Astyanax mexicanus: one gene and its partners. The protein of the gene in region 2 purifies or fractionates together with the protein of the main gene of each other region. This does not show direct contact. Links are inferred from orthologs where the notes say so. Each region holds a gene or a part of one and is shown on either strand. Other genes may lie near its edges. The genes, in order: copa, hectd1 and znf622.

Region 1 (10,500 bases), on a different chromosome or scaffold from region 2:
ATTAGGCACATAGCATCTAAAGCTTCTTTTTTATGTAATGCAAAAAAAGTATGTTTACTGTGCATGTTTGCGTACTTTAAAAGAGTAACACATGCACATTAGCATACCAGTCAAGAGTGCACTTCCAGTTTTAAAAATGTAGTGCTCTTTTTCTCTCCCAACTCATGCATTGTTATAATGGCCCTGTCTTACAGTCCATGCTACAGTAACACTGCTTTAAAGACAGTTTGTCAGAAACGTCGTCTCAGTGTGTCACTGAGAGTAGAGAAGGCAGTACAGAGGGTCAGGAGTTCCTGAAGTTTAAGACACATGCTTTAAATTCAAGTGTGTGAGTGCGTATGGAATGTTATTGGGTTATAGTAGTAGATTAATATTCAGCAAGAAAAAAGAGAAGCAAAGAAAGACATTAATTAATGACTTAGATCTCTGTTAAATCATGCAGAGAGACAAACAATTCTCACGGACTAAACTGAACTCAAACCTTCACCCACTCATCACTGCGCACAACTTTGTAATCACCTCACTCCCTATAACATTGTTATACAGAGTAATAAACTCTCTATGTAGATTCAAAGAGGCCATATCTGCACTTTTATTATAAAGGACAGTGCTAAACTGCTGTAGGTTAAACAAATCGGGCTAAACTGATTAAATGGGGCAGTTCATAATTTGGAATCTATGCATATGTCCAATACAAGCATATCAAAATAATTTTACATTTATTTAGTTTAATGAAAAGAGTGATTCCTGCTTTCTGTACAGCAGTGATTCAGTATTCAGGTTCAGGTTTGGGTGTGCAGTAGCTGTGAGAAGAGTTTATGTAAGCCCACAGAGATTCTTGCCTGTACACACACAGGAGAGGAGGAGATGAACACTACCTCTCTCCTCTCTGTCCACCCCAAACCCACCCCCACTCTCCCCAAACACACTCTGGCCCGTCCCACAGCCCTTACCGGAAATATCCCACACGCGCACGGTCTGGTCCAAACTGGCCGACACCACTAGGTCCTCCGACGGGTGGAACTGAGCGCACATCACATAATGATTATGGCCAGTCAGAACACTAAAAGAAAAAGAGAGAGAGATTATACACTGTTAAAAAAGCATGCATGGCTTAAAAATGTGGTACTTAAAAATGTGTTGCATTGTGGAGTTAAAACCGTGCATAAACACTCAGACAGACTATCACACTCACCACACACAAGTCCTGGATTGCCAGTTCCAGATGCGGATGGTCTGATCATCTGAGGCACTCAGGATCCATGGGTACTCCTGAAACAGAGAAACACAAATACAGAGGTTCAGAATGGAGCTCAAAAAACATATTAAACCTGTAATGTGATTATGATTGTTATATAAAACAGAGTATAGAGAACAACTCACATGGTGGAAGAAGGTAGTGCGGATGTAGTCCAGATGACCCAGCAGGGTGAAAAGACAGCGGCGAAGTTTATAATTCCACACCTGAGACAGACACACAGACACACACACATAGAAGGAGAGAAAGGGAGAGAGAGAGAGAGAGATCAATTGCATGTAGATATTGATCTAGAGTGCATCAAACTGTATAATGTATTTAACTACACTGTGTTCACCACATAGAGCCTGTGGTTTCACCTGGGTGTTGTTTCATTACAGACTATAAATCATCAGTTGATTTGTGTTTATCTGTGTTAGACCTTCTCTGATCATTCATTCATTTTAACAATTTTAACACTGCAGTGACCCTGAAATAATACCAGACAGCACCTTGTGATGGTGAAAGAAAGGGGTTTCTAATAAAGTGGACATTAACTCTGAAACGGTACTGCAACCCATAAAGCAGAAATTCCAGACCTTAATTTTGTAGTCGTCCCCGCCGGAAACAAACAGAGGCTGCTGTTTGTGGAAGTCAATCCCTCTGACTGGCCCTGCACAGCACAAACACACAGGTGTCACACTGCAGGCACAGATACAGTACATTCAGAGAGTAACAACTGGCAGTTTGGTCTTACCATCGTGTTCGTCAAACTTGTCAATGAGGGTGCACATGCGGTAGTCCCAAAGCTGAATGACCCCATTGTGCAAACTGGCGAGGATCCAGGGCCGCTTTGGATGGAAACTCAGCCCTGAAACAGACAATGGGTGTGAACCTATTTTAAACGAAAGATCCAGTTTTTGATTTGAAGCAAATACAGTTATGCCTTAGATGTTACAGTCTTTTTTATCAGTGGTTAATGGTAGTTACATATGTGTACTTTGCTACTGTACTTTTGAAATATTCCGGGCAAAAGTGCCGGAACCACAGCTCTGATATATCAGCTAACAGACTCCTGTGCTGACCAACACATACAGGAGTGATGTACAGAGGAAATGCCATCAACCCAAAGCCTCTGTTGCACTCTGATCCAACAACAGTTTTAATTTCAAGCAAAATATCTGTATAAATTAGGCATGCACAATGACATCAGAATCGGGTAAATATTTTAAACTGATACTTGCTGATGTAGACATTGACCATGCTACTTTACAATTTTATTTATTTTACAATTGTATTTCTTTTTATTACTTTCAATAGGTCTATGCCTTTTTTAATCTATTAATTTCAAAATGAGGATTCAAAGCTGTTATCAGTCTATGTAAGGACCAGTTAACGTAAATAATGTGAAACCAATGATGGAGACACCTTTCATTTTATTCACAGCTAAAAGATGAAATGTAAGGAAAATTAATACTACATTTGTTGCTAAAATTATACTAGGTTGTTTAGTCTCTCTGTTATAAATGTATATTTCGGGATCAACAGATATACAATACCAGTCAAAAGTTTGGACACACCTTCTCATTTAGTGTTTTTCTTCATTTATATATATTTATAACATTTCTTTTATACATTTTAGATTAATATTAACATTAAAACAATTAAGGGACACATATGAAATTATGTGTACATAGCAAACAAATAAAGTGTTTGTCCTCCACAATCCCCTGACCTAAACCTAAGTGAGCTGAACTATTGTTCAGCACCTATAGGAACTACTTCAGTACGCTTTAAAAAACTATTTAAAGTGACTCTACTTCATGAAGACACTGAGACTAAAATACCAAGAGTGTGCAGATCTGTCCTTAAAGCTAAATGTGGCTGGTTTGTAAAACATTTAATTTCACATGTTCCTGCACAGCTTTAATCTTTTCAATATTGCATTTACAATTTACAAAATAATAAGAAAGAAAACACTTTGAATGAGAAGAGGTGTGCCCAAAGATTTGACTGTTGCTGTGTATATGTATAATATTGAATATCGGTCTGAATTCTCACCTAATATTAAAAGTCTAATCGGTGCAAGTTGTGCATCTGTATTTTGAATGTTACAGAAGAAAAACACACTCAGGAATTTGATGCTAAATTTGTCATTCGAGTTAAATTCGAGAGCTCAAAAACTGAAGAAAAACTGACAAATTTGACAACTGAAAAGTTCCATACTTCACTATTAAGTGTATAAAATCTGACATCCATTTCACTTTAATTATATAGATAAATTAAACGGTAATATATTAAAGCTGTTTAATTGTACCGTGACAAGTCTCATACTTAACATTAGTTATGTAACTACAGGTTTAAGGATGCTAGAACTAGGCAGGGGAAGTTAATTAAGTTAATTAATAAAGTTAAAGTTAATTAACATAAATGCTTTTTAAGTAAATGTCGTTTTACATAAATATAAAAAACGTACCTACGTTAGTTAAAAATTATAACTGTATGCTATTTAAAATAATATTACACCAGCTGTCTTAAACTATTAACCCTTTTAACTCTAAAAACACTATAAGCTACAGAGTCTCACTGTGAAGCTAACCTGTGCTAAGCTAAAGCTATGCTAATCAGCTACCTCCTGATTCACAGGCCTCAGTGTTTGTGAATGCAGTTTAAACTCCTGATATTTCACACTATTTAAACATTTAAACAGAAAAAAGCACTTTAATAAGCCTGTGATTACCCCGATACATGTGTTTACGGGTGTTTTCTTTAGCTGTTTAGCTCGGGGTATTCTCAGTTAGCCTGTGTGATGCTAGGCCAGCTACCCGCTGCGGGTCCTGACTGAACTCACCCTTCACTCGGGCGGACTTGGTCTCGAACTTGGTCAGCATGTCGGACGGACTCTGCAGCCTCGCTGAGGGTCGGTTCACTCCAGTAAAATAATGGAATCGCCGCTAAAGCTCCGGTGTCGTAGCCGGTCTGATCCAACAGCAGCGGGCTGCTGGAGGTGCTGCGCTTCCGGAGCTGACACGTCTACACAAACCCGCTCACTCACACTCAGCTCCAGCGCTGCAGCGGAACCTCCACGTCACACTCAGTGTGGGCGAGTCCCAAATCCAGCACATGTCCCCTACCGAGGGGACTACACGGAAGAACCCTCCTTCTTCTTCTTCTTCTTGTTGTGGTTTTATTCCGGTTGGCAAACCAGCGTATTTGGTGCATTACCGCCACCTCTGGACTGGAGTGTGGATCAGGAATAGCTGACAACCCTCAAAACACACACACACACACACAAAATAAAAATAAAAATAAAAATGAAAATAAAAGGATAAAATGACTTATCCATTAATTCTTGTTAATTAATCATGTGTTTTTTTTATAGGAAAACTCACATGACCTGTGCTCAACTGCATTAAACTCTGAAAGTTAAAAGACGCCTTTTCTTTCTGTAGTTGGCTGATAAGTAGTTGCCTGTCTGTCTGGTATTTTGGACAATGAATCAAAACATGTTCTACAGTCTCCTGGCTGTCGCTGCACTCACAGGTCCCATCAACATCCTTCTTCATCTTATAAAGTGTACTTCTGAGCTTTGTGACCAAACCTCATTCTGGAGAACCTTCTTCTCTCTGTTTGTGTTTCTAGGCCTCCCCACTTCATTCTGAATGGCATGGTACTGCCTCCCTGTCTCTCCATCATTCCATATGCGTTGCCATTTACCACAGGTCCTGGCCTTGGCTACACTTTTGATCTCAGCCTTACTGTATTGCATTTCAAGCTCAACGCTGTCCTTCTTTAAGGCCTCCTTTGCTAGCTTGTCAGCCAACTCGTTGCCACTGACCCCTATGTGCGCCGGTACCCATAGAAAAACTGTAACGATTCCAGCCTTGGCCAGATTATTTGCTCTCTGCACTATATCATATATAAGGTCTGGCCTCGAATCAGACTGGCCATTCCTTATGCTCATAAGCGCTGAGCTGGAGTCAGATGCAACCACCACCTTCTGTGGCTTGTTGACCTCAACCCACCGTAGTGCCAACCATATTGCAATCAGCTCACCTGTATACACTGCCAGGTTATCATTCACTCTTTTCGCCATTACAGCCTGAACCCTTGGGATGGCATAGGCTACACCAACCTTTTCATCCATTTTAGACGCGTCTGTATAGATAACCACTGATTCGGCATAGTTTTCCCCCATGTACCACATCACGGTGCCAGACATCCCAAGTTGCAAAAGTTGATTTCAAGGAGGTTACCCAGGTTACTCAGTTTTTAGCCTACACTAGATTTACACTTCATTAAATTACTTAGTTTTCTTTATCAGTAAAAAGGGCATACACGCATTTTAACTTGGCAGTTGAATACAGGACCTTGTGTTAAAGGTCTTTAGGCCTACAAATAAGCTTTTTGAGAAAAGAGTCTTTTTGAGAATACAGGCTGTTTGTATATAGTTTGTTTGTTAAACTATTAACTTTTTTATATTTTAATTTAATAATCATATTTGTATTCTTACTTATTCCTATTTCCACTTTTGAGTATTATATTCACATCCTATGTCTAGATACTTTTTCACATAAAAGAGTTGTTGTATCAGTATAATTCTAATTTAACCAAGGTGGGGTATTGAAATTAATCACAATTAGATAATCTTTATTAATTTACATAAGCAAAGGATATTTTTTTAAAAAAATAGTATGCTTTAGTGTAAGTTTGAAGACACATGAAACATTTCTATTTTTTCCCCCCTCACACATCAATTTTAGCCAGTATCATTAGCTTAAAAAATATTAACATGTCCACCCGTTATGTTCTATTGCCCCCCCAAGCAAGTCAGTCTAGAACTAGGGCTGTGGTGCATACTATATTTACAAGGTCATTCAGGATTTTAGCAGTCTGATATATTGTTTTTTTAAGTCTGCCAGTTTTTGAAACAAAATGAGAATAGGAGATAATGCCCTGAGAAATAAACCTAGTGCCATTTAACTATTTCAACTAAATATCAAAAGAACAAATGATACACAGATTTGTCATATGCAAATGTTTATTCAGTATTGTCATTGTCTGCTGATACCTGTGCCTCTTGGATATTATAAGATTCACCATTGCACTGCCCTTTATCTGTTAGATTTTTTTTTGTAACTTTATTATTTTCCCCAGTTTTCACACTACCCCCTGTGAGGGACGATACAAAAAAGCTTAATGAACACAAACGGACAGTACAGACTGATACAAACGTGTAAAAAAAAAAAAAAAAGTAAATTAAGAATATGTTAGAGAATAAAGGCATATTTTAAAAAAATTTATATTTATCATCTACAGTTAGATGATATTCTGGGTTTGTTAGAGCACCAGCAGGCGCTAAAAATAGTTTTATACTGAAAAATTTACTCATTATGTCAACACAGAACAATATCATATGTTTAGGCATTGCAGATTAAATGAGTAAAGAATTTAAACTCCAAGTATTAACCTTTCAAACCTCTGCATGTAATTCCAGCATCAGCAACCAGTCAGCTCACAGTAGCAGTAATGCTTTAGCCTTTACTGCATAAAACCTGTTTACTACAGAAAAATGAACAAGTTTTACTCTCTTGCACATATTAAAAACAAGAATTGTTATGCTCGATTAGCTTTTTGTGCTAATAAGCACCTCCTCCTCCCCAACATTAGTAACTGATTGTTTTGTAAATTAAACTGTTAATTTCACACAGTGCATCTCATAATTTTATATTTTAGTGTATAGTATGTAATTTTTATAATAAACTTCTCCATAGAGATGAATGGTGGAGTAACAGCTCAGCACATTGTGATTTATTACTCCAGTCTGAAAGTGGAATTTCACTAATAGTGGGACATTATAAAAATGGTAATGTTGTATAAATGTAATAGTAACAAAAAGTCACAGTTTTCAAGGTTTTTTCAAATAAAAAAATTGTATTAATGAAATTGATAAAAAATTTATGCTGTGTTCCATCAGAACCAAGTTATTAAATGCAGAGTATTCTAATAAGGACCCCTGAATGTTTGACTTCTAACCCAGTCAACTCGGGTGTGATCTTATTTTCATCTCAGACATCTCAGCAGTGTTATTCTAGCAGCTCTTACTGTAAACTAAATAATCACACATCAGATACATGTCTTGACTGAATGACATTCTGGGGTCAGAGATCAACAATGTTCATTTGATTTTTCACTGAACATGTCCCTTATTTAGTTATAAAAGAAATTATCTGTTGCACACGGCTCACCAGATTACATCACATTTACAACTGAACAGAGGATCTTTTCAACTGATACAAAAACACAGAGAACCAAAGAAAATTTGATTAATGTTTTTTATTTCTTCACTGTAGTTGCGTATTCTGTTCACAGTGTAGTGGACAGGTATAACTGTGTACTGTGAGGAAAGGTTGAGCTGATTTAAGTGCGTAGGTGTTCAATGAACTCCTGAGTGTTGAGGTTATGTGCTCTTCTCTCATTGAAATCTATGCTAACAACCATATCTACATACCTTAAACTCAGCTTTCAAAATAAAAGCACAATCTTTAAGAATTTTAATTTGAACATTCCCCCATTATCTGAGGTACAATGGTAGATAAATATCATTAAACACAACTCAGAGCTGAATCAGAGCATAATCATCTGTAAAATTACACTTTTACAATGAACTGGTATTAACAGGTTTGTAATGGAAGCAGGGTGTGTGTATTAATTCATCCCTACAGTATTTGCAGCATTTTAGTATACAGGTAATTACAATAGACAATATGGGTTTTCTATCGTTAAAGAAAAGCCATTTAGTCAAACAATGCTTACAGTAGAAGTCAATGGCTATGTAAGGGGGTGCTTTATTCTTTTTTGCTGCATGTTTAGGAAATGATTAATTACCAGACACAAATTTAGGTATTAAAGTCAAATAATAATAATAATAATAATATTTAATCAAAAATACTTATAATGGACAGCAATGGAACACAATTTTAGCATGGTCCCACTTGCTTCTATAATAAGTCAGATTCAAAGCAACATTGTTAAAATTATATTAGTCTGAGATAATCAATCATTTGCTACAAATAAAGCAGATTAGGATGAACATCTTTAAAGCATCTGCTCACTGAACCCTATTATAAGTGAGTTTTAGATAAATGGTTTTCTGTTCTTATCCAGGCTCATGTTGAAATGATTGTCTGTAGTAATTGACCGTATGCTACTGCTAATGCTACTGTACAGATTTCACTTTTAAAACCACTGGATTATACCTTTAATATTGCAAAAATGCCTAATATGTCCACTTGTAAAGAATTTCAGAAGGCAAAACAGATCAGACGCATCACTTCTATCCACTTTTAGATGATCAAAACATCATCCAGCATACAATTCACTGTAATCAGACAAAAGGAAAATACACAAGGCTACCTAAACCATGCTAATCAGGCTCACTCAGGGAGAAAAGTGAAAACCACTTAATTTTAAAGGCTGAAATATTAAGAAAATCAGTTTTGGTCACTGATTAATTATGAAAAAGAAACGGAACAATGATTCAGCATGTTTAAAAAAAATAAACATGCTGAAAATATAATGTATAAAAATTATTAACCATTTAAATTACAGCTTATTAATTTCGCAGTTGCTATAATTATTGATCCAGTGTCCCTCCTTGGAGTCACACTTTAAAATCCCATTCGCTCACCTCCCACGGTGTTCTCATCTCTATCTTTAACGGAACAGGCACGCGGTTCTAGCTGCTCGACTTGTCATCAGGTGAAAAAGTGCAAAATTAGTTACTATGAGCAAGTTGAACCACCAGAGTAAACCCCACCCTCACCCGCAGAAAGAATGTTACTGGGCTGCTCCAGCGTGACTACAGGGAACGAAGAGTGAGCAGAGGAGGGGGAGGCAGGTTTAGGGTTTGATGGGTGCAAACACACACACACATACAAACACTGCAGCCTCACATCACTGAACACTGATCAGCCCCGGCCGCACCCAGACCTCCGGGCAGGTGCAGTGACTCCGGGTCAAAGTTCAAACCAGGTGGCTAAGGAGACACAAAACATACACATTACATAGATCAGCATGAGAAAGGATGTATTAAAGTATAGTTCAGTAACAGAAAAGAAAATAAATTACCCCACCATAACTACAACACAAGACAACAAAATGTTTAAATAAAAGATCTAAGGTCCTAATCTGTCTATTACTTTATCCCATAAAGTCCACGTGTGCTGATCTACAGTACTTGGCCTGTGGCCTCGTGCCTACAACCGCAGCACAGCAGCGCCAATACTACAGGTTATAGCACTCCCTCTTGTGTATTACTGCTTAATTACAATTTTAATCATAAATGTTTACAGTTATGTGCCCACAATAACAAACAAACATGAATACGTTGCTCACTGAATTTCTGATTTAATTTTAAACTTGGCAACAACTGGGCTCTAATGGGTTTAAGTGGAATGGAAAACTTTGATATGAAGCTCCAAATGACTTTGGAAAAGCATGGACATTGTGGTTCAATTTCCCTCTGTTCTATAGGAATAAAACAAGACTTTCTGCCACGGCTTGGAAATGAGGGGATGGGTTGAAAGCTACACATCATACTGCAACCAGCCAGCAGAGGCAGTAGATCTGTTGTGACCTTACTTTTCAAAGACTTTTCAAACTGCATATGATGCATCATTCAAACACCAAACATGTTGGCTTATCAATTACATATGAGGTGAGCTGATTCATTATGGTTATCTACTAACTAATTTTTAACTATTGCTTCAAAGCCACATTTGCTCAGAAAGGTTACTTACTGCCTCTCCGGCGAGCTCTTTTGGTGGCTGTCCCAGATCCTGCAGCTGAGGAGAACAGCACACAGAAAAAGTTACATTTTGTCACTAAAATGTGCACTTGCAATTTGCAACTTTTTTTTGCTGCTGAATACAAAATAAACATTTGCTCTGTTCCAGTATTATCTATTAAATATAATTAATTTTATTCCAATCTTGGATAATTAATAGTTCATTTATGCATTATTAGTTCATTAGTGCACTATTAATGAACATTACATGTTTGATTAATCTGGTGAAAATACTACTTTTTATAATCGCAATATGAGTCCTTCTGATGAATAAACATTTACATAGATAAAATAGATAATTGTGTACATAATAAGGATACTTTACTTTACCTTCTGCATGAGTTCTAGAATGTTTTCAAATGTGCTCTCTTTTTCTCCTTGTCTCTCAAACTGGTTGCAGATCTCCCCCATTATT
Region 2 (10,109 bases):
ATTTTTTGTACAGCTGTACACTAGACTTTGAGCAAATACAAGACATGCACACAGTGGTAAAAACATTTCACACAACCTCCTACCTTCTCTATACAAACAGGCCAAGCCAGGCCAAGCTGAGCCAAGTACAAGGACAGGTACATGACTGTTAAGGATTAATCTGAACAAGCAGGCCTGTGCCCTTTGTTAGAGCTAGGGAAGCTATATACAGACTTGGGGTAGATCCTCCATCCTCTTAGACACTGTAGACAGACATCCACTCAAACAACAGAACCACCTGCCAGGAGGAAGGACATTCTGTGTATACTCCTAAAATAGAATATTCTTAGGCCATATCCCATTTCTCTTTTACCTCTACCCCTTATTTTTTTGAGTGTAACCCTTCCACTTGGAACAGAGCTACAGGGGAAAGGGGTGAAACCTTTGAAGCACCGATACAGATATAGCTCTAGCAGTGGAGCACTACAGTTCAACAAACTAGCTGCTGGTTAACCAGTTAACTTTAGGGCACTGTATGTCTTCAGAATAAGGGTGGGAGATGTAGCAATTAATTATTATTGTCCACTTATTAATTTATCTTTGATAGGAAGGTTTTATTAGGTTTATTTTATTTTTCTCTGCCATCCCTTGCACCATTTAAGGTGGAATGTTAGTTAGGTGGAAAGTTAGTTAGCTAGCTAGTGACTGAGACAAACTACTAGCTTGTTATTTAGAAAATGGCCATAAAACACCGAAACTACACATTAATTTTTATAAATACAGTGGTTATACTCAGTTGTAACAAGGAAAAGACATTTGTGGATTTGTGGACTCTAGGGCTGAGTAATTTTACCTTAAATTCAGTACCGATACCCAAACGGTACTTTTTTCCCATACCTTTTTCAAAATTGCAACCAAAAAATACAAAAAGCGATAATTATTCTCATACAACAGATTTATTTGACAGCCGATATTAGTAATCTCATTCTCATACGGTCACAATGAGAGACTGCCATATTTTTGGATCTTGTTATAACAAACAATGAGCATGATTGTTGCACTTTATTAAGAACAAAAATATTACCTGCCTTAACTGCTTAAACTAAAAAATGTTTTATCCGAAGTGTATTGCTGGATGCATTATGGTCGTGGGCAGATTCGGAGGCTACATCCCACACAGATTTTCTTGATGTACCGCACAATTCAAATAAGAAAATACTGGCTAAAGCTCTGCTCACAGGAGCTGCCAGTGCTTAAGCTTGGTTCCTTAATATCTGATGATACATACTGATCATGGTGAGTTAAATATATACATTAAACATAACCTTTAAAACTTCCTTTCAAGAAAATTTCAACTGTGGTGCAATCATTGCGTAGTAGGGCCGAAGGGTGGAGTCTGATGATGACTTTTTGTGGCAGGTTAACTTATAAATTGGAAATATTTTACTGTCCTCTTAATCTAAGAATCTAAAAATATAAATAGCACTAACATTACTGCATTATAATTGCTACAATATAAAGTTTGTGTATTATTGCAAAAGTAACAAAAAATACATATGTAACTACATCTATGAAAGTGAAACAATTAAAAAGGTCAAGATTCCATCTGAAGACAGTAGGTGAAGCAAAAAAGTAGTATCCTGGTGTGATAATTAGGGATGGTAATATGGCATGATATTTAAGGGTATAATATTGTTCCCAATATTCAAAAATGTTGGAGATATTATTGCATACTGTACAATATGGCACAACCTACTTTCTATCATGCATGTTTTGGGTGCTTCTTCACATAAAATAAACCTCTTTGAAATTTGATAAGCTGATAATTTGCTATATCCACAGGAATTCAAAAGGTTCCAAAAATGATACTTTACTTCCTATGTATAGTCAAATCATTTAATGAGACATCTACTGTTACTTTGAAAAACAAGCCTCAGAGGTGTCAAAATAAAACTGAACATTTATAAGTTTAGCAGGAAGATAGTGGGAGCTCTTGTGATGAAAAAAGAAGAAGAATAAAATAAGTAGAAAAACACATTTCACCCCTGATCCATTCACAGCAGTTAAATGTGATGACACTAACTACACATGTGTAAGAAGTGTTTAGAGAATAAAGTCAACAACTGACTGGCCTTTCTGATCATCCCCCAACCCGATGACTCAAACAGATACTAGATACATGATTGTAGCCATCATGACTCGAGCGTCAACATGATACCAGCTTAACATCACATGAACTTCTCCCCAGAGATGTGTTGGCCAAACAAACTGGGCACAAAATGAAGCAAGCAAAGGTGTTGGACTATTTATATGTTCTTAAACCACCCAGAGCTTAACTCGTGAGAAGAGCTGTCATTCAACAAAATATGCAACGACCTAAAATTAGGTCACACTGTTTAGCTGGTGTGTGTGTGTGTGTGTGTATGTGTATAGGAGTAGTGTTTGGCTAAGGTTAACGTTACCTGATCACGCACAGTTAAACAGCTTGGCTCTGCCGAGCTCCTCGCTTATCTATGAGGTTAATTCAAATTAGAGAGTTAAAAGGAGAGTTATTTTGTTACTTTGGAGTAGAACATTTTATTGTTAATTTATTGTTATTAAAATTACTTACTAAATACACAAATCCACACAACCAAATAACAGCAACATTGCTCGCTAGTTAGTTAGTTAGGTTAGCTAACAGTCAGTAGTAGCTAATGATACTCGACGTGTAAAGTACCACGCGTATCTAACATAAGTTAACTATTTAGCGATTAAATTTACTTCAAATTAGAGCGTGAAAAACGAGTCACTTCTGTCATAATACAGTTTTTTTAATGTTAAGCTATTAGTAGGAAAATGGGAGTAGTTCAAATATTTCTTACTGGTAATAAACCTAGTTAGCTAACTAAATAGTCCCCACAACCAAATTACAGGGACATTACTCACTAGCTAGTTAGCTTAGCCAACGGTCAGCAGTTACTAATGATACTAGACGTGTAGCTTACCTCACTTTTTTAAGTAGTTAGCTTTAAATTAACTTAAAATTAGAACGTGAAAAAGCGAGTCATTTGGTAATATTAACTAACGGTAGGTTTTATTATTTTTAAGTTACTTCTAAGAAGGAAAAAATGTGAGTAAAATATTTCTTACTGGTAATAAACCACCACGTAAGTTACCATCGCAGCTAACCTTAAGATAACTAACGTTAACTAACCTAGCAAGGTACCTAGCTACATAGAAAGTAGCTTAGCTGTCTGTAATGATAGCTGCCAATTCACTAGCTAAGTAATAAAACTAAAACTAACTAACAAACGTTTGTCACTTGATACCGAACTGTAAACAAATTTTGCTAGTAATAATTAACTTTATGCCCTTCTGACGTTTAGTAAACTAACCTAATTAGCTAATGTAACGTTAAGTTTCCATAACTATAACGTACACAAACAATATTCAATCCGATAAATTAAATATCTGTTTTGCCTAATTAAATAATCCCCACAGCCAAATAACAGTGGCATTACTCGCTAGCTAACGTTAGTAAATTAGGTAATTCCTAACAGTCAGTAGTTACTAATGATACACGACGTGTACCTCGCTTATCTAACTAGTTAAGTAAAAAATGAGAGTAAAAATGAGAGTTTTACTGCTAACGTTACCACCAGCAGCTAACCTAAAGATAACTCACCTAGCTAACTTAAGCTAAAATAATAACGCAAGTAAAGTTAGTTAGCTTCCTTGTTATAATAATAGCTAACAAATTAAGACTAGAGAACCTGGGTAAGCTAACCTAGCTGCTAACTAACAAACGGTTGTCACTTGATACCGAACTGTAAACATCTTTAGCTAACAATAATTATGCCCTCCTAAAGTTTAGTGAGCTAACTAGCTGGCTAATTTAGTTAGTGGTTTCTATAACTACAACGTAAGTTACATAAACAAAATTCAACCCGATAGATATATATTTTATCTAATTAACGTTTAATAATCCCCACAGCCACATAACACAGTAGCTAAGCTAACATTACCAACAGTCAGACGCTACTAATGATCCTCGACGCCGGGCCTAAAGCTAGCTAGCATAGCTAACCAGACGCTTTGCGGCAACACTGGCCGTCGTTTCAAAATCTGTTTTCTAGATATTTAATTCTAGGAAAACTAATGTCAAGCGTTCAACTAAAAATACAATAAACTCCGTTTGGTTTAATTACTTCATACGAGGTTGCTAAGCTAGCTCGCTCGCGTTATCTATCTAGTAGGATTATCGCTAGCTAGCTTAGCTAACGCTAACTACCCAGTTTATTAAAAAACAAACCCACACAACGGAGAATCCAGCCCGACAAATCCTGATATAAACGCACACAGTTAGTGAGCAGGGTCTAATCTACATTATTCGATAAACATGACACCCGCACTTTATCCGTATAAACGCTGAAGCCGAACAGACTCGGCCTTGTGTTGACTAAGAGATCCCGCAGTATGAAGTTAGTGGGAAGCCGGAGGCCTCAGCGCTTCTGTCAGCGAGAACTCAGGAAACCTGCGGCCTCAGAGCCGCGAGAATAAAACACTCACCGCCTGCCTCTCCCCCCAAACGCCGAGAAGAAGACGAAAAATCCAAGTTCTCAATTCAAATCCACGAGTTTTCACCCAAACTAAGACGATAAGTAAGGATTCTTCATCCCCTCTCTGTTATAAACACGCGTAGAGGTCACAGTGAGCGGCGGAGGCGCTTCTGAGCGAAATGGAGAGCCGCCGGGGGAAACTAGCGCTGTCCGGCTCCCCAACGGATAAGTCGTCTGAACCGGTTCTTTTTAATAAATCGGTTGAACCGATTCACACGTGCTAATGAATCAAACTGGTTTTAAACATATGGTTTTTTTTTTAGTACAAATCGACTTTTAATCCTTTTGGTTAGCCTGCATGGAAAGTATGAAAACTACAATTAAATACGAATAATATATAATACTATAATAATAAAAATAGTCTTATTTTCTGATATTTTTTATTCCATATATTCTGCTATAACATTAGACATTCATTTAGACCAATTTATAAATCACTATGAATAATTTCATTTAATAAATTAATTGGTTCAATATTTATAGTAAGATTTTACATCTCAAAAAAACAACTAGCTTTTTACAGCTCTGGAAAAAAAGAGAAACCACTTCAGTTTCCGAATCAGATTTTGCTTTTTATAAGTAAATGTTTGTGTTTGTTTTATTCTATAAACTACGGACATTTCTCCCATAATTCAAAATTAAAATATTTTCATTTACAGAATTTATCCTGAGAAATGGCTGAAATAACAAAAAAGATGCAGAGCTTTCAGATCTTAAATAATGCAAAGAAAACAAGGTTATATTTATAAAGTTTTAAGAGCTCAGAAATCAATATTTGGTGGAATAACCCTGGTTTTTAATCACATTTTTTGTCCATCTTGGCATCATGTTCTCCTCCACCAGTCTTGCACACTGCTTTTGGATAACTTTATACCACTCCTAATGAAAAAAATCAAGCAGTTAGCTTGGTTGTGATCATCCATTTTCCTCTTGATTATATTATAGTGGATAAGTCAACACTAAAAATATTATTTAAAAAATATATATCATTCGGATTGTTATTATACCTATTTATCATGTACAGAGAGCAGAGTAATAAAAAAACGTAAACATTCTAACTAAATGATAATAAAGTACATTATTATTAATTCATGTCAATTTAGGGGGAAGTGTTCACAGTGCCAGTTCTAAAAGAAAGAACCATATTCAGTGCCATGATCTTAAACAAGCTGTTTATGCTTGAAAACCCTCCAATGTGTCTGAATTTTTGACCATATATTGTCCTAGACATAGTAGTGATAAACAATAAAGTGTAATAATACAATTATACCCCTTCTTTCCATGCCACAATTCACAGTATGTGTATGGAGGCTCCAATATCAATGCACTGGTCACTGTGCTACTAGCTAAAATATTGGTGGATTGCTGTGTATATAAAACAAACATGCAAGGAAACACAATGGACGTTAATTTATTCTTCCAAACATGTAATCAGAAAATAACTGTTAATTTTGTACCACATTTCTGTTTCTTTTACAGGATACAAAATGTGTGATATGGTTACAAATACAGTATTAATTGATATGTTCACTGCAGCAAAAGTACCAACAATTAAAAGAAAGAGCCGAAAGCTAAAAGAAAAAAAAATATGGGTTAGTTACAATTTACTGGATTGATAAGTAATGTTTGATTTTCGTACTCTAAATCTAAATGATTTTACGAGCAGAGTGCAGAATTGTTTGCTGTGCAATTTTCCTGCTCTAGTAAACCTCCAATCCTTTAAGACTGGAGATTTCCACCAGCTCAATTTCATCTCAACGGCCTTAACAATATATCCTCAGAAACAAATTTTTATAAAGTTTAAAACAACCTTAAATCACTTTTATATTATTGTATCCTTTTATTCTGGATTACATTCTAAAATTAAAAAAATAGCAGCGCAATTTGGTAAAATTGTGAAAAGTTATCTGGTTTTCATGCATCACTTAAGTATTGAAGGAATAACATCACACCATGTCTGACTGCATGGAAGCTGCAAGCTGCTGCAGAGTATCAGTGCTGTAATTAATACAAAAGTAGCTGGAATTGGAGCAATGCAATGCAGAAATGCAGGCACCAGGCTGTAGTATTTCCATGCATTTGATACAGGGAGCAATCTGTGCTGAAAACTGTTAAACAAGTGCATTTTAACCGTAATGCTGTAAATAATATGCCGTAGTGTAAAGCCAGAGAAAGCAAATAAGCTCCCAGTGGAGTAGCTTGTACTGTAGTAACTTGACCTAAACTTAAGTGGAAATTTGAGGAAATTTTATAATGTGCCACAAACCTGAGACACTGAGTGTGTTCACATGCACTTAATAATCTGATTACTGGAGTATATTGGAGGTCGACGGTAATCCAGTCAATGTTTTACATGAAAACAGATAATGTGTAATATGTATGTTTGATTTTGGCTTTACTGCCAGCCAATTAACTATCAGAATAAGATGTGAATTAAACATCACATACAACTCAAACTATACAATATGCAATATGAACATACAGCCAATAGAAGACGACTATTTAAATCCTTCAGTTTCAGCATTGCTCCGATAGTCATCTTGCGAGTGCTGTATTAAACACTGCTCACTTATTTCTGGTACTACAGTCTGTTTGCAGTTTGTCATGCAGGCACAAAAATACTATATATAAATCTATATATATAAATCTGAAAATACTCTGGTTAAGAGTTTAAATGGACTGAGAATATGATTACTGAGCTAAAATCCTTCTCTTTTTATCAGATTTCTTAATCTAGATTCAAGACCTTACCTTAACCTAAAAAAAACAGAGTATGCTGCTTATCAGGGGTGTGCCATATCGTATTGTACGCAATAATATTGTACACATTTGTGAATATAGTGAACGATATTATACCCTGAAATATTGTGCTATATCACCCACCCCTAATTATCATCAGGGTACTACTTTTTTTGCTGTTTTTAGCAAAAGAAAAATTCAAACTGTTCTCATTTCCCCATTATTTATCTACTAGAGAAAGATTATATCTGTCCAGTGCCATTTATTTTACTTTAATCCTGGATATATGGAGATATTTGGAGTTTATTATTATTAGTATCATTACTGATCATTCTGGATCAATGACTTCTGTTACAAATCTGATAAAATTCTTGTATTGTTTTAATATCTCAGTTAGGGGTGTGCCTTTAGCATCTTGTATGCAATAATAAAATACATTTTTTATTTTGTTGCAGTTGTGTACTCTTGACATATTTTTCTTTTTCAATTCGGTCTTTTGTCATATCGCCAAAAGTATTGTCATCATGAAAATACCATGGAATATCATGATATTATTTTAGGGCCATATCGCCCACTCTTATTGCTTACATGACTACTTGAATAATCAGATAACTGCAGAAATACAATGAAGGGATTTTTAAATGCATGTAAAACACCCACTGGCTTTCTTAGTCCTGGTCCTGCACTTTACTTTAATTATGTGCCCTCTGCTATAGCACACTGATTCATTCCCAGCAGCTCCTGAGGTAATACAATGGTGTTCACTACAATTTAAAATGCTAGTCCTCCAAAAGCAATATTAGAAAATACTGAGTTAAAGCAAGCACAGTCTTCTCACAACCAGCTGCTTTTTTTCGTCTCACTGAGAGAATTGCATTTAACAGTTTTAACAGTTACTGAGGTATTCAGATATTAGAACTTAAATTATGATAAATTAAGAAAGCCATGAATTTTATTTGTAGGTGAAAAAAATAAAAATGCAAAGTAAATCTAAGATATTAAAACATGCTGCATTCCTAAAACGATGTGATTTAAGATTCCTCTTAAACAGTCTGTATTAAAACTAAACTACCTTTATGCTGATTAAGTTCCTCACAGAGGTTAATAATACAATTTTAAAACAAACACTAACATAAGAATACTGTAACAACAACAACCCACATTCTTGGATTATTCTTGGATTATTAAAATAATTTTGCTGGCCCTAAAAACATTTCAGATTCACAGGAAGTTGGTCTTAAGTTGGATGCTGGGGGCAGTCTTGCCAGGGACGTGAGGAGGCGTAGCTTTGGCTCTCACACTCTCTTGGTTGCCCTTGATGGCTGCCTCTAGTCGAGCTTTCATGTGGGGAGCAGAAGCCATGAGCGATTTGAAGACGCTGGAATGCTGAGGACCGAGTCGCATCAGGTCTCTAAGAGCAGACTCGTGCAGAGAGCGGGAGGCCACAGACGCTGAGCCCAGAGTGTTCTCGTCCAGCAGGTAGGAGACCAGGAGGGGTAACAGTACAGCCACCAACTGGGGACCTAAAGCAAAAGACAGCGCCAATATTTAGTGCCATATAACATATAATCCGATTAGGGGTGTAATGGTACATGCATTTATACACAGCAGTCTGATATTGTGGTTCAGTAGATGTAGTTAATGGGTCTAATCCCATTTCTCTTTTGTACCCTTACTCCTTATTTTGAGTGCAACCTTTTCCCCCTTGAAACAGAGCTCCAACACTGCAATGTGATTGGCTGAGAGGCGTCCTAAAAGCGCCGCTATCAGCCGGTAATGCACTCACTGTAACCGAAGCTCTCCGTGTATTACTCCGCCACATACAGGTAACATAAACAAACAGAGCAGCAATGGAACTATTTTAACTCGCGGAGTGTTTACAAAAAAACAAAATCATATTTTCTCGTCCCCTTTAACTCAAAATGTTTTCGATAAACAGTGATAATGAAACTGTGGTATAATCGCAATAACACACTCAAGGTTTGTGCTATATCATGTAATCGGCCTGTGGATTCGTGCCTACACTGCAGCACAGCAGTGCCAGTATTACACTTGAATTATTGCTTAATTGTTCATTTTATAATTCCTCTGTAATAGGGAGCCAAAATTAGCTTTTTAATTTTTTTTCTAGATGTGCTATATTGCATATCCATAGAATCAATTCAACTAAAGAACTAAAGTAAAGAACACTGTGTGAATAAAATACTGACGGTTAGTTTCCTCTGCTGCAAGCACTAACGCCTCCATTGTTTGGACTCCATCCTGCACTGCCTGGAGCTCCGCAGAGGACTGAGGCCGACTCTTCTCCACTTGCTGCAGATGAGCCACCAGCTGTGTGCCCAATCCCTGAATAAACGGCCCAGCTACGGCAGTTTGTCCCTGAAACACTGACGCCAACAACTGGAAACTCCTGCTCCGCACCTATGAAGAAACAAATTACTTCATTATCTGTGGATAAAGGAAACACTACCAAAAATAACTTTTTTAAATCATTGATTGAAGACTAGCACATGCTTCCTCTGATACATGTGAAGTCAGACTCCGCCTCTGTTTGAACTCTTGCTGATGCAGTATTTCTGAGTTGCATCACCCCGCTAATGCTCGGAGGAAAGCGCAGAGACTCGGTTCTGATACACTAGCTCACAGATGCACCCTTGTGCTGATCCACATCACCCTTTGGAGTGATGTGAGGATAGAGCGCCATCTACTGCACCCACCCAGAGAAAGCAAGGCCAATGGTGCTCTCTCAGGGCTCCAGCAGCTGATGGCAAGCTACATTAACAGGTTTCG
Region 3 (10,988 bases), on a different chromosome or scaffold from region 2:
AGCACTGTTACTACACTACTAAACCAGAGTGATGTTCTAAAACTTTTGACCGGGAACGTAATCCAGGGTAAATACTAGTGCTGGGCGATATGGGAAAAATCATATATCACAATATGGAATTTTTTATATCAAGCTAATAACATCATGTAAATAATATCATGATATACCACATTTATTTATGTTTTTAGTTATTCTTCGAAATATATGACCAAAAAAAAAAAAAAAAAAAAAAATATATATATATATATATATATATATATATATATATATATATAATTGCTTACTTTTTTCCAAATTTATTTCAAAGTGACATTAAACCAAACTTTCACAAATGAGAATTACGACCTTTTAGTGCAGCAGCATATATGTATCAAGTGAAAACAGATGAGGTAGATGCAGTAGCAATGTTTTTTTTAATTATACAAGTATTTAAATTGAGTTATCATAATAAACTAATAAATAACATTTTTTAAAGTATCCGTCAAATAACGTACAGCAGTATCATGTCACAAAACCACATTATGAAGCTTTTTTTGCAAAGATTACTTTATTATCACTTATATAAACATAGTTTATGCGAAGTGACCACGCCAATACATTTCATCGTAGCCTACTTTATATATTTGCATGAATAATTAATGAAATTACTGTAGAAACGATAGGGATAACCCCACAATATTTATCGTCATATCGCACAGCACTAGTAAATCCATAGATAATTAATGTTGAATCTATTGATCTATGTATATTGCTGTTGATCTATATATCTATGGTTGCTGCATTTATGTGGTACTAAAAATGGAAAAGTCATTTTTTTTTTTTAATGGCTCTTCCATAAAGGTTATGTGTGTACAGGTGTTGCTGCACAGTAGAAAAGTGCACCATCCATCCAAATTCTGCTAAATCCCTCTATTTATATGCATATTACACACGTTCCACATTTGCCTGCATCTAATTGGTTTAGTACGTCTGCAACTCACCCAGATATGCGATGAGTCCTCTCAGATCTACCAGGTATTCTATGTCAGGGATGAAGAAGCTGTGTGTGCTGGTCATGTGAGCCATGTTCTTGCTCAGAGATCGTGAGTGGTGAGAGCAGAACAGACAGTCCGTTACTGAAATGGTCCCTGGAGCGGCTGCTGTTGTAGCTTTTCCGTCCTCCTCCATCTGCTCCTCTTCATCGGCCTCCATGTCCTCATCATCGCCGTCATCTTCAAATGCATCAGCATCCTCGCCGTCAACATCCTCCCACTCTTCTGAAACAGATGATGGATATGAGTACCTGCTCTACTATTGGCTTCGAGTAGAAGAGAAACTTAACAGAATCTTATTTTAATGCAATATTTGGCAACAGGACAACTTCTAAGTGAAACTGTAGTGAACTGTAGTAAAAAAAAGAAACAAGTGTAAAGGCAAAATAATTTACACCAAACAATGACTAACTTATTTGAGATCACATTGCAGTGTTTTTGCTAGCAGCTCAATACTGATTCGGGCTTTACGATAAATTATATATTAAACATTTGCGGTATTAAATTAAATGATATTTCTCTAATTGAATCGGCCACAGTGCTGTTTAGTGGCTGTGCAGTGTCTGGCATGCATTTAGCATATCTTGTGGAGGAAAGAGAAATAGTTTTAACCCAACTAACTGGATAACCCTCTCAAGAGTACATCCCTCAGCCAGTACAGTAAGTAGTTATTAGCACAGCAACACAGCAGAGCTAAGGAACACTACAATCCACAATCCACCAAAAGTGCAGTTAAGTTAGGTTTGGACAAAGAAACAAAACAGAGGGACAGAAGAGTAGAGAAGGTATCAACATTTAGCACCCACCTTCCTCCTCCTCTCCTTCCTCTCCCTCTTCCTCTGCAATCTTCTTGGCCTGTTTCTCAAACCACTGCAGCCGAGGCGCTTTGGCAGGCCGTTGTCTGTCCCGCCCCTCTGAGGGCGTGGCTTTGGAGGGGGTGTGTCTCTGCTGCTCCCTCAGCACTTGCTGCAAAGCTTCGTTCTGTGCATCCTTGTCGAGCTCCGCCCCTTTCTCCAGGTTCTTCTCGTTCATTCGCTGCACCTTCTCCTGGGCGGCTGCCAGGGCCTTCCTCTCGGCCTGCAGGTGTTTGTTGGACTGCAGGTGGTTGGTGTAGGCGTTGGTGGTGGAGAACTTCTTGTTGCAGGTGCTGCAGGTGGAGAAGCTGGTCAGGTTCTGCTGCTGCTGCTCGGCCGCCGCCCGCTGAGCCAGCACTCGCTCCTGGAAGTTCTCGGCCGTGACCGGGGGCATGTCGGCCACTTTGCGCTTCAGGTTGTAGCGGTGCCAGTCGGTCTTGTAGTGCGCCCGCTGCACCTCGCCATCCACAAACTGCACACGGCAGCTGATACAGGTGTAGGCAGACATTCCTGCTGAATTTAACCAAAGAAACAAGCTTAGGATTAATAGGAAATATTACACAAAAAAACACAAAAATGTAACTGGAGGACTCTAGCAAACCCCTATTGTTGCTGTCCAATAAAAAAAAAAAGTATCTCTATTTTTGACTATTTCTAGTTTTCTACAAAATTCGAACACAAAAATGGTCCCTAACACTGTGGCAAAATCTCTTGATAAATTGACAAATAGAAGTTCTCAAAAATGACCTGAAATAAAGTATTTTTACATTGACTTACATTGTTAAAAGTAAGGAAGGTTATTATTCAAATGAGGATGTTCCATTAGAATCACTATAAAGTTACCTTAACCAAACCCTCACACCCCCATGTTACATATTTTTTTTTATTTTAAAATATAACTGACAGAATTACTGTATACATTATACATTATATATATATATATATATATATATATATATATATATATATATATATATATATATATATATATATGCAAACATTTCACTATTTTGTTTGTTTTTGTTTTGTTTACTAGAGATGCACAGTTAATGAGAAGAAAATGAGAAGAATTAGAAAAAATTGAAGAATTAAGAAAAAAGAAATGTGAAAAGACCAAACTATTTATTCTAAATTATATATGTCTGCTGGGATAAAAAAAAATGGTAAATTAGTTAAAACATTTGATATTCAGTATTTTATCTTTGGCCAAATGTTACATTTTGTACAGATACTTTTTTTCTAACAAAAAAAATATATATATATTTTCCTTAATTCCATAATATATATATATATATAAATATATATAAAATATATATTTTCCATAATTTCCATCATGAATGTTAGGCTAGAATTAGTCTGTTATTATAACATCAAATAAACCTTTAGAGTATATTGTAAATTTTTATATTACATTCGTAAAAATTATTTATTCACAAAGGTTTCAGACGCAAAACTAAACTTCCCTACCGATTTAATTGAGTTAAATTAATTTCTCAAATTGTTAAGTAGCATCAATACAAAAAAAATAGAAAAATATTTTGCTATTATGATCTATTTTATAATGATTTAACGTAATGTTATATCGATTAGCCTTCCGCAATTAATGTAACGTTATAAATATTGTTATTAATATTTGTGTTAACCTTTCTTTTATGTTGTTCTATGTTGTCTAGATAATGCTGTGTATTTTCCTGTTTTATGAGTAACGTTATGTTGTATCCATGAGTAACGTTACTTAAGTCTGTACCAAATAATATAGATATTACGGAAGGTTTATTTGTCTGGCGTTATTTGTACGATTTTTAGATATTTGCTTGTTAAATACATTAAAAAAGCTAAGTTAGGTTAGCCATTAGTTAGTTAGCTTAGCTGGCTAAATAATAAACAGAGGAGGTAACGTTAAATTTAGATAACACAACATTGTCTACATAAAACTACATTACAGTGTAACTTATATAATAAGTTGATATAAGATCTTATGTAGGGTCAGAGCGTCTCCTCACCTGTTTATAAACGCTGTTCAGCTCCTCCACTGTGTGTAAATATCCTCAGCTCCAGCCTCTGTAAACCTCCAGCAGCTCACACGAGGCTGACACAGCGCTCAACCCGGACAGAAACAGCCCGAGTCCGGCCAGGTTCAGCCCACAGCGCCGCCAGCTGCCTGGCGGACCCCGGGTCTCCTGATCTCAGAGTTGCCAGGTTCGCAATTTTTTACGCCAAACTGGGCTTGTTTTTAAGTCCAGTCGCAGGTAATAAAAATTTAGTCATTATAACGGCCGTCAAAAAACTAAACAAAAAATTTGCCTTTTTATTATATAATATAAATAAATAAATAAATAAATATTATCTTTTTTAATGATACTGTATAACCTCTTATATTGTTGTTTGTGCTTCTGTGTTGTTTTTCTGTAACTGCTTCTGGCTGCTAAATTTTCTTTAGGATCAATAAAGTATCTATCTAAACATCCGGAAGATGGATTACAACATTAAGAATCAGGAGAACATTATTTTCTAATTATGTTACTATTAAATGTTCTTGACTGGGATATAAAATGGTTATAAAATAACTAATAAAACACTAATGTTACAATATTATTAATGACTACGATAAATAAATGCCTTATAAACAAAATACTAAGTCGTACACTTATAGTTGTTTTGATATTTGCTTCAAAACGTGTGACAGACGGCGGGTTTTAGACTAACTTTGGGCTGGACATTTTTGTTGGACCTGGCAACCCTGCCTGACCTGCCTGATCCAGACCCACACATGAAGAAAAAACATATGAAATTATTAAACAAACCAGAATATGTTTTATATGTTACATTCTTCAAAGTAGCCCATATCTGGTGGATGTTCTCAGTCAGTTTTATGAGATAGTGGCAAGAACTACTCAGCTAAGTAATGAAAAAATACTTTGAAGAAATGAAAGTCAGTCAATCTAAAACTTTTCAAGTATCTTTTGAAAGGATCCTTCACTGCAAAGACAATCAAAAACATTACAATGATGAAATTGGCTCTCATCAGGATCGTCCCAGGAAAGCATAATAACAATATCCTGACTGATCTGTGTAGAAATTAAGACAAATACCATCTTACACAAATGTGTTAAACGCATACAGCCAACACGGTTAGCAAGAGTACAGCCAACAAAAGTGGTTAAAATATTTTAGTATTAGTGATCTGTGTACGTCTTCAGGCTTAAAAAGGCATTTTAATCAGTATTATAATGGAATGACTGCAGATTCTGTCCAATATTAGATTTTATATAATTTTAGGCCAGAGCATAGACTGTGTATAGCTGGACAGAGCATCGTCTCTTAAAAGTGAAGCCACCACAGGTCGGGCGCCCCCTGCTGTTCGGCTGCAGAAAGCTGTGTAACCCCACCCATCCCCATAGGTTTCAATGGCAAAACAGACAACTTTCAATCACGTTTTTTTCTAATATATTGTAATTATATCTTCCTTTATTTAAATGTATCAGCTAGTGTAACCTCTGCTTATATTGTTAAATTTTTATATCCCCACAGAATTCGGTTTTTAAAACTTTATTCGGCTCTATTCATGGTAAAAGGGCTGCTTATGGGCGGTACCAATAACAGACCGTCAGCTCCGCTCCGCCCCGCTCTGCAGTCTGTGACCGCGAGGCAGCCCTCAGGGGCGGGGTTATTTAAATGAGGAGGCGTCTCTCCACAGCCTTTCTCCCTCCTCTGGTCTCTACTGCGCAGACTCTGGTCTCTGAATCGCCAAAATGGTGGAAGATTTTGGCTTCATTTTCATTGAATGAATGGGAACGGCGACACGGCATCCATCTTTATATACAGTCTATGGGCCAGAGAATGGAAGCATGCAATTCCTGAGATCCTTAAAAAAAATAGAAAGCAAGAGTTCTTGGTAAAAGGGGTTACGTTATTTTATTAGTCTTAAATTTGTATCTACAACGAAGGGACACAAGCAAAAATAAGTGACGACTCCATGAAAAACAGAAACAAAAAAACATAAAAAAACTAAACCAAAACATTTATTATTGATGCAGTTTTCCCATTTTTTAATAAACGACATCTTTCAGTCTAAAGAAAACAATTTACAATATAAAGAAACATACAAAGGACTTCTGTTAAACTACACGAGACACGGAGAAGTCCCTAAAGACGAGGATCCGAACTAGCCTAACATGAAATACAAAGCAAAAACCGAGGAGGCCACTGCTTCATACTCAATACTGCTGCTGCTGCTTTTCTTGTTGTTTTGTTTCTCATAAAGAACGACAAAAGAAATGGCGCAGGAGGAAAACCACCGTCCCCATCATTATTGTGTGTGACCTCATCTACCCTGCTGGCAAACAATAGAACCATCATGATCATCATGATCATGATCATCATCATAAAGATCATCATGATGATCATCACGAAGCACGACGGTGGGAACGATGGCCGGTGAGTTTTACACGGAGAACAAGAGCAAGGACAACGGCGACCTTAGAAAAAACACTTCTTCCAAACTTCTGCCAAACGCCTCCTCCCTAGTTCAGTTCTACTTTTTTACAAGTACGCTTTTTCTTAATTTTATTCTTTTTTTTTTACATTTTTACTTTAAATACATTAAAAAAAAAAAGAGAAATCCTTCATAGCAAAGTCTGTTTGTGGTCCCTTAATGTTTTGGTGAAACGCTGTTCGCTGCTTTTATTGGTTTCGTTGGTTTTGTTTCAACATGATTTCCATGGAGGCGAAAAAAAAAAAATTGGAAGAAAAAGAAAAAGCATAAAAAAAAAAAAACAGTCCAGGAATATTTTGCCTTTTAATGAAAATGTTGACTGTATCAGTCTGGACATGGTTTCCCTAAAGATAAAAAAAAAAAAATAGAAAAGCATCCAGGAAAAAAAAAATAATAATAAAAAATGAAAAAGAGAAGTTAAAGTTTTCCCAGTTTTTCAAAACTAAATAGCAATTATTTGTCAAAAATGAAATCTAACATTAGCTAAAAAAAAAGGGGGATAGTGAATAATCTCAGGTAAAAAAAAATAAACGAGAATATTCACTTCAGACAGAAAAACCCTTAAAAAAAAAGGAAGATATGAGATTTTAGATCAAAAATTTAAAAAATGAAACGGGAATAGTATGAAGCTCTTTTCTGGGGAAAAAAGGTAGCATGAATATTTTTGCAGAAAAAAAAAGAAAAAAAAAGAAAAATTGCACCATTTTCTTCTGTCCCTACTGATACTGGTTCTAAAAATGAATGACAGAAAAAAAAACATAATGAACACATAAAATAAAACAAAAAAAATCACCTCCATGGAAAGAATGTGACCCTTAAACAGACAGATGCAGATCCTGAGCTCTCGGTGAAGGCTGAACGTCAGTCCGTCGGGAGTGAGGACTGAGGAGGGACTGCTGCCTCTTAAAACCTGGTACCTTTAGTTTAGTTTTCCTTTTTTTCCCTTGTGTTTTGTGTGTGTATTTAATAAAGGAGTCACTCAGTATAAAAATGGGCTCGTCTTACGTTCCCTCCTTCTCCCTCCTGTTGGTTGTGTGTTGGTGTTACAGCGAGAATAGGAAAGTGGGGACCGTCAGGGACAGGAGATAGGAGATAGGAGACAGGAAGGGGATCAGATCAGAGGACTACACGGTCTGTTCAGCTATAAAGATGATTTTTTTCATTACATCCTTTTCAGTTTTTTTTTTTTTTTGTTCTTCATGTTTTCAGCGCTGTGTTGATTGGTTGTGACAGAAATATCAAAACATGTCAATGATATCAAAATGCATTGTACAGTATTTACAACAACAGCCAAACATGACAGACATAAAAGAGACACGCTATGTTTGGGGGTTTAGTGTGTTGAGGGTGTTGGAGTGTGTGTGTGGGGGGGCAACCAGTTGAGTTACAGTTAAGTCAGATTTTTTCGTATATGTATACTGCATGTGGGAGTGTGTGTGTGTGTCTGGGAACAGGTTAGAGGGATGCTGTTTTTAAGCAGGGGCATGTGGATCCCTCATTAACTCGTACTGGCCATTCCGCACACCTCTGCTGGGTGGCTTATAGGGTATAGCGAGAGCACTTTTTGAATCTGAGAACACATTTTGCTTAAATTTTAAAATTTAGGAAAGATAAACAGAAGGAACATAAACGTAGGAACCTTCAGACAGAGAACAGTCCAGTTTTGAGAAGGTGGTGGTGTTGCGTTCTACGTCCAAACAGTAGAAGCCTGGCTTGGGTGGACGTTACAGCTTAGCAGATCTAGGTAGTCTTGATTTCGGCTTAAAAAAATTCCCGAGCCGCGCTCCGAAAGGAAAAAAAAAATCACAGGATTCAGATGAGTCTGGCTAACACAACATAGCACAAGGTAGGCCGAGGAGTATTTACAAGCAGCGTCCGTCCGATTTCCACTCCTGTGGTCCTGCATCAGAACGTCTTGAGCGCCCAGAACCTCCAAGAGCATCAGCGCAACCCATTCTCGAGCACAGGGAGGGGTTCAAACAAAATGTGTTCCAGGAGCCGAAGCCGGGATGAGGCCTCTGTTTAACAGGAAAGAACCAAAAGTCTGTTTCTTCCCAGAGACGCCTCGATTTCGTGAACATGCTGGAGGAAAGGGGGCCAGAAACATGGCAGTCAGAGTATACAGAGGGTATCAAATCAGTAGGAGGTATCTTAGACTGGAATATTTACATGTGTACAATATGTCCTGAAGCGTTGCGTGTTGCAAGACATACAAACAACAACAATTCAATAAAAAAAAAAGAACAGAAAACACTAAAAAAAAAACAGGTAAAATAATAAATAAAAATATGACTGAATCGATTCGAGTTATAATCAGAGTTATAACAACTATATATATAGTACCACAATAATATGCCTTTCCCGGGTTTCGACAATGAGGGGCACAAGCATTTTCCTCTTTCATATTTCTTAAAAATATAAAATAAAATAAACCAACAAACAATAAAAGGACAACTAAAACAACAGACTCTCTAGAGTCTAGGAGTGAAATTACATCTCTGTACGAACTCTCTAACCCCATGGTGTTCTCTCAAACAGGACAGAAACAAAATTCCCAAAAATCAAGATTCCCCCTCTTAAAAAAAAAAATAAAACAAATTGACTAAAAACATAAAAAAAACTAACACAGAGACCTTAAAATAAAAACAAAGACAAAAAAAGAAAAACAAAAAAGAAAAGAAACAGCTTTCACATCCCATTGTCTCAAAAAACAAAACAAAAAACAAAAAACAAAAAAAAGTGTGCTTACTGTGTCGTCATTTTCTTGTATGTGGTGTGGTTACTGAGAATACATATAATGTGCCCTTCTGAGGAAAGAAAAAACAAATACCCTAAAATCAATCACCATCATTACAATATTGTTACAAAATAACGACAAAAAACACAATAATTATTAATAATACAGTACATACACGAAAAACAAAACAAAACAAAAAAAACATGAAAAACGTCCGTAGCCCATCACATCTTCATGAGTTTCACGCATTTGAAAATGTACACGATGTACACGATAAAACGAGAGGACGAGGCGAAGGATCGCAAAATCCCGACGTGGAGAAACAAACAAATAAACAAATAAAACTACTGCATTTATAAAGAAACGACAGAAAATCATCGAAACAAGACACGATGAGGGGTGAGTTTAAAAAGGAGTGGAGCAGCCCTAGACCAGCGCTGCAGCCTCACACTCTCCATCAGTCCGTCCTTGCATCTGTGAATGTGTGTGTGTCTGTGTGTGTGTGATTGTGTGCGTTTGTGTGTATCTGTGTAGAAATACATATCTATGTATATGTATATATACACGCAGTCCTGTAGCCCCCCTTTCAGTGTCCTGAGCCAGAGAGAAAGCCCGGCAGGCAGGGCGAGTCAGTCAGCGTTCTCTTCCTGTGGCATGGGGGGGGCTGCTGCTGCTTCCTGGTGCCGGCGGCAGCGGCGAGTTTGCACGCCCCGGGGTGGGCCACCTTGGCCTGCGTCCCAGGAGACTGCGCAGTGCGTTGGGAGAGGAGGGGGGGGGTCCCGGCCCAAAGTCCCGTGGGCAGGGGTGTGTGGAGAGGGAGGAGAGGGTCAAAAGGAACGAGGGTCGGAAGGATACAAAAGAAATCCGAATGAAAAAAAGCAACCAAAAAAAAAATTTAAACAAAAAGAAAAATCCAATAAAAAAAGGAGAAATCACACACTCATCGTCATGTTGGGTGAAAACTGGAAAGAGAAGAAAGGGAGGGGGGAAGAGAAGTGAGATGAGATCATGAAGAGATGGTAATGCCATTACTGTTACTGAAATACGACAACAAAACAAACAAATGAGCTCGGTTTTGTGTGGACGAGGCAGCTGAAATGGGATATCTGGTTATAAATATGCTGGAAATAAGATCTGGTCATTCTACAGAAACTTTTTTTTCATAATGGACAAAGTAATTATTTTGTACCTTTTTTGCATTTCTTTAAATACTGTGGGTACCACGGAAAGGAAACAGCGGTGAGATTTTTTTAATAGAAAATGCAATTCAGCTAAATGACTGTAAGTGACCATCAAACCACACATTGTTAGCTTTTAGAATTTCTTGTATATCTGCTCAAATATCTTAAATAATCTAGTTGTATTCAACATTTCCCAAAGAAAAAAAGCTTAATGAGCTAAATGAGAAAAAAATCAGATGAGCTATATGAGATATATGAGATATATAAAGAAATTAAGTGCCATCTGTGTTTTATTTTATTTTTAAAAAACAATTTTTGTTTTCCTTTTTTTGTTTGCTATGCATTAACACCAGTCATCACTCCATCACTAAGGTAGAAGTATAGATACTAGGGTTTAAAATACTTCTGTATAAGTTGAAGTATCATTTCAAGCTTTTTGTGTGAAAGTGAAAGAGTAAAACTACTGGTTTTAAAATTAAAAGTAATGTAAGGGGGAAAAAAAAGCCATTAAGGGCAAAAGCATAGGCCGCGCCAGAGGATCCTATAGTGCATTACTCAACAAACACTCATATTTCTAAAAGCCATAATAACTATAATGTTACATTAAAATTTAAAGTTGATAAATTTGGGATCCACTAAACTGCCTGTTTCAGCAGCAGAGAACTGTAGAAACATCCTCACATCACTGTG

The links.
Region 1: the proteins of hectd1 (region 2) and copa purify together in Homo sapiens (affinity purification with mass spectrometry, with the first as the bait; 3 studies listed by BioGRID). This does not show direct contact. The link is inferred for Astyanax mexicanus from reciprocal best matches to the Homo sapiens genes HECTD1 and COPA.
Region 3: the proteins of hectd1 (region 2) and znf622 purify together in Homo sapiens (affinity purification with mass spectrometry; 4 studies listed by BioGRID, with this or other methods). This does not show direct contact. The link is inferred for Astyanax mexicanus from reciprocal best matches to the Homo sapiens genes HECTD1 and ZNF622.

The regions. Positions count from the first base shown.
Region 1 is NC_064415.1:44,435,113-44,445,612, reverse strand, and holds the start of copa (coatomer subunit alpha), read right to left. Parts: upstream 4,307-10,500; 5' UTR 4,129-4,306; coding exon 4,089-4,128; intron 2,109-4,088; coding exon 1,995-2,108; intron 1,911-1,994; coding exon 1,837-1,910; intron 1,465-1,836; coding exon 1,384-1,464; intron 1,273-1,383; coding exon 1,196-1,272; intron 1,064-1,195; coding exon 954-1,063; intron 1-953. Other genes in the region: pex19 (peroxisomal biogenesis factor 19), read right to left, coding at 9,189-9,275, 10,039-10,083, 10,416-10,500. UniProt on the Homo sapiens protein: The coatomer is a cytosolic protein complex that binds to dilysine motifs and reversibly associates with Golgi non-clathrin-coated vesicles, which further mediate biosynthetic protein transport from the ER, via the Golgi up to the trans Golgi network.
Region 2 is NC_064421.1:45,406,738-45,416,846, reverse strand, and holds the start of hectd1 (E3 ubiquitin-protein ligase HECTD1), read right to left. Parts: upstream 4,752-10,109; 5' UTR 4,531-4,751; intron 2,491-4,530; 5' UTR 2,442-2,490; intron 1-2,441. Other genes in the region: heatr5a (HEAT repeat-containing protein 5A), read right to left, coding at 8,541-8,842, 9,530-9,740. UniProt on the Homo sapiens protein: E3 ubiquitin-protein ligase which accepts ubiquitin from an E2 ubiquitin-conjugating enzyme in the form of a thioester and then directly transfers the ubiquitin to targeted substrates.
Region 3 is NC_064415.1:54,477,870-54,488,857, forward strand, and holds the start of znf622 (zinc finger protein 622), read right to left. Parts: upstream 4,004-10,988; 5' UTR 3,889-4,003; intron 2,399-3,888; exon of another isoform or gene 2,396-2,398; 5' UTR 2,394-2,395; coding exon 1,838-2,393; intron 1,257-1,837; coding exon 981-1,256; intron 1-980. Other genes in the region: zgc:110158 (single-stranded DNA-binding protein 3), read right to left, coding at 9,704-9,862. UniProt on the Homo sapiens protein: Pre-60S-associated cytoplasmic factor involved in the cytoplasmic maturation of the 60S subunit.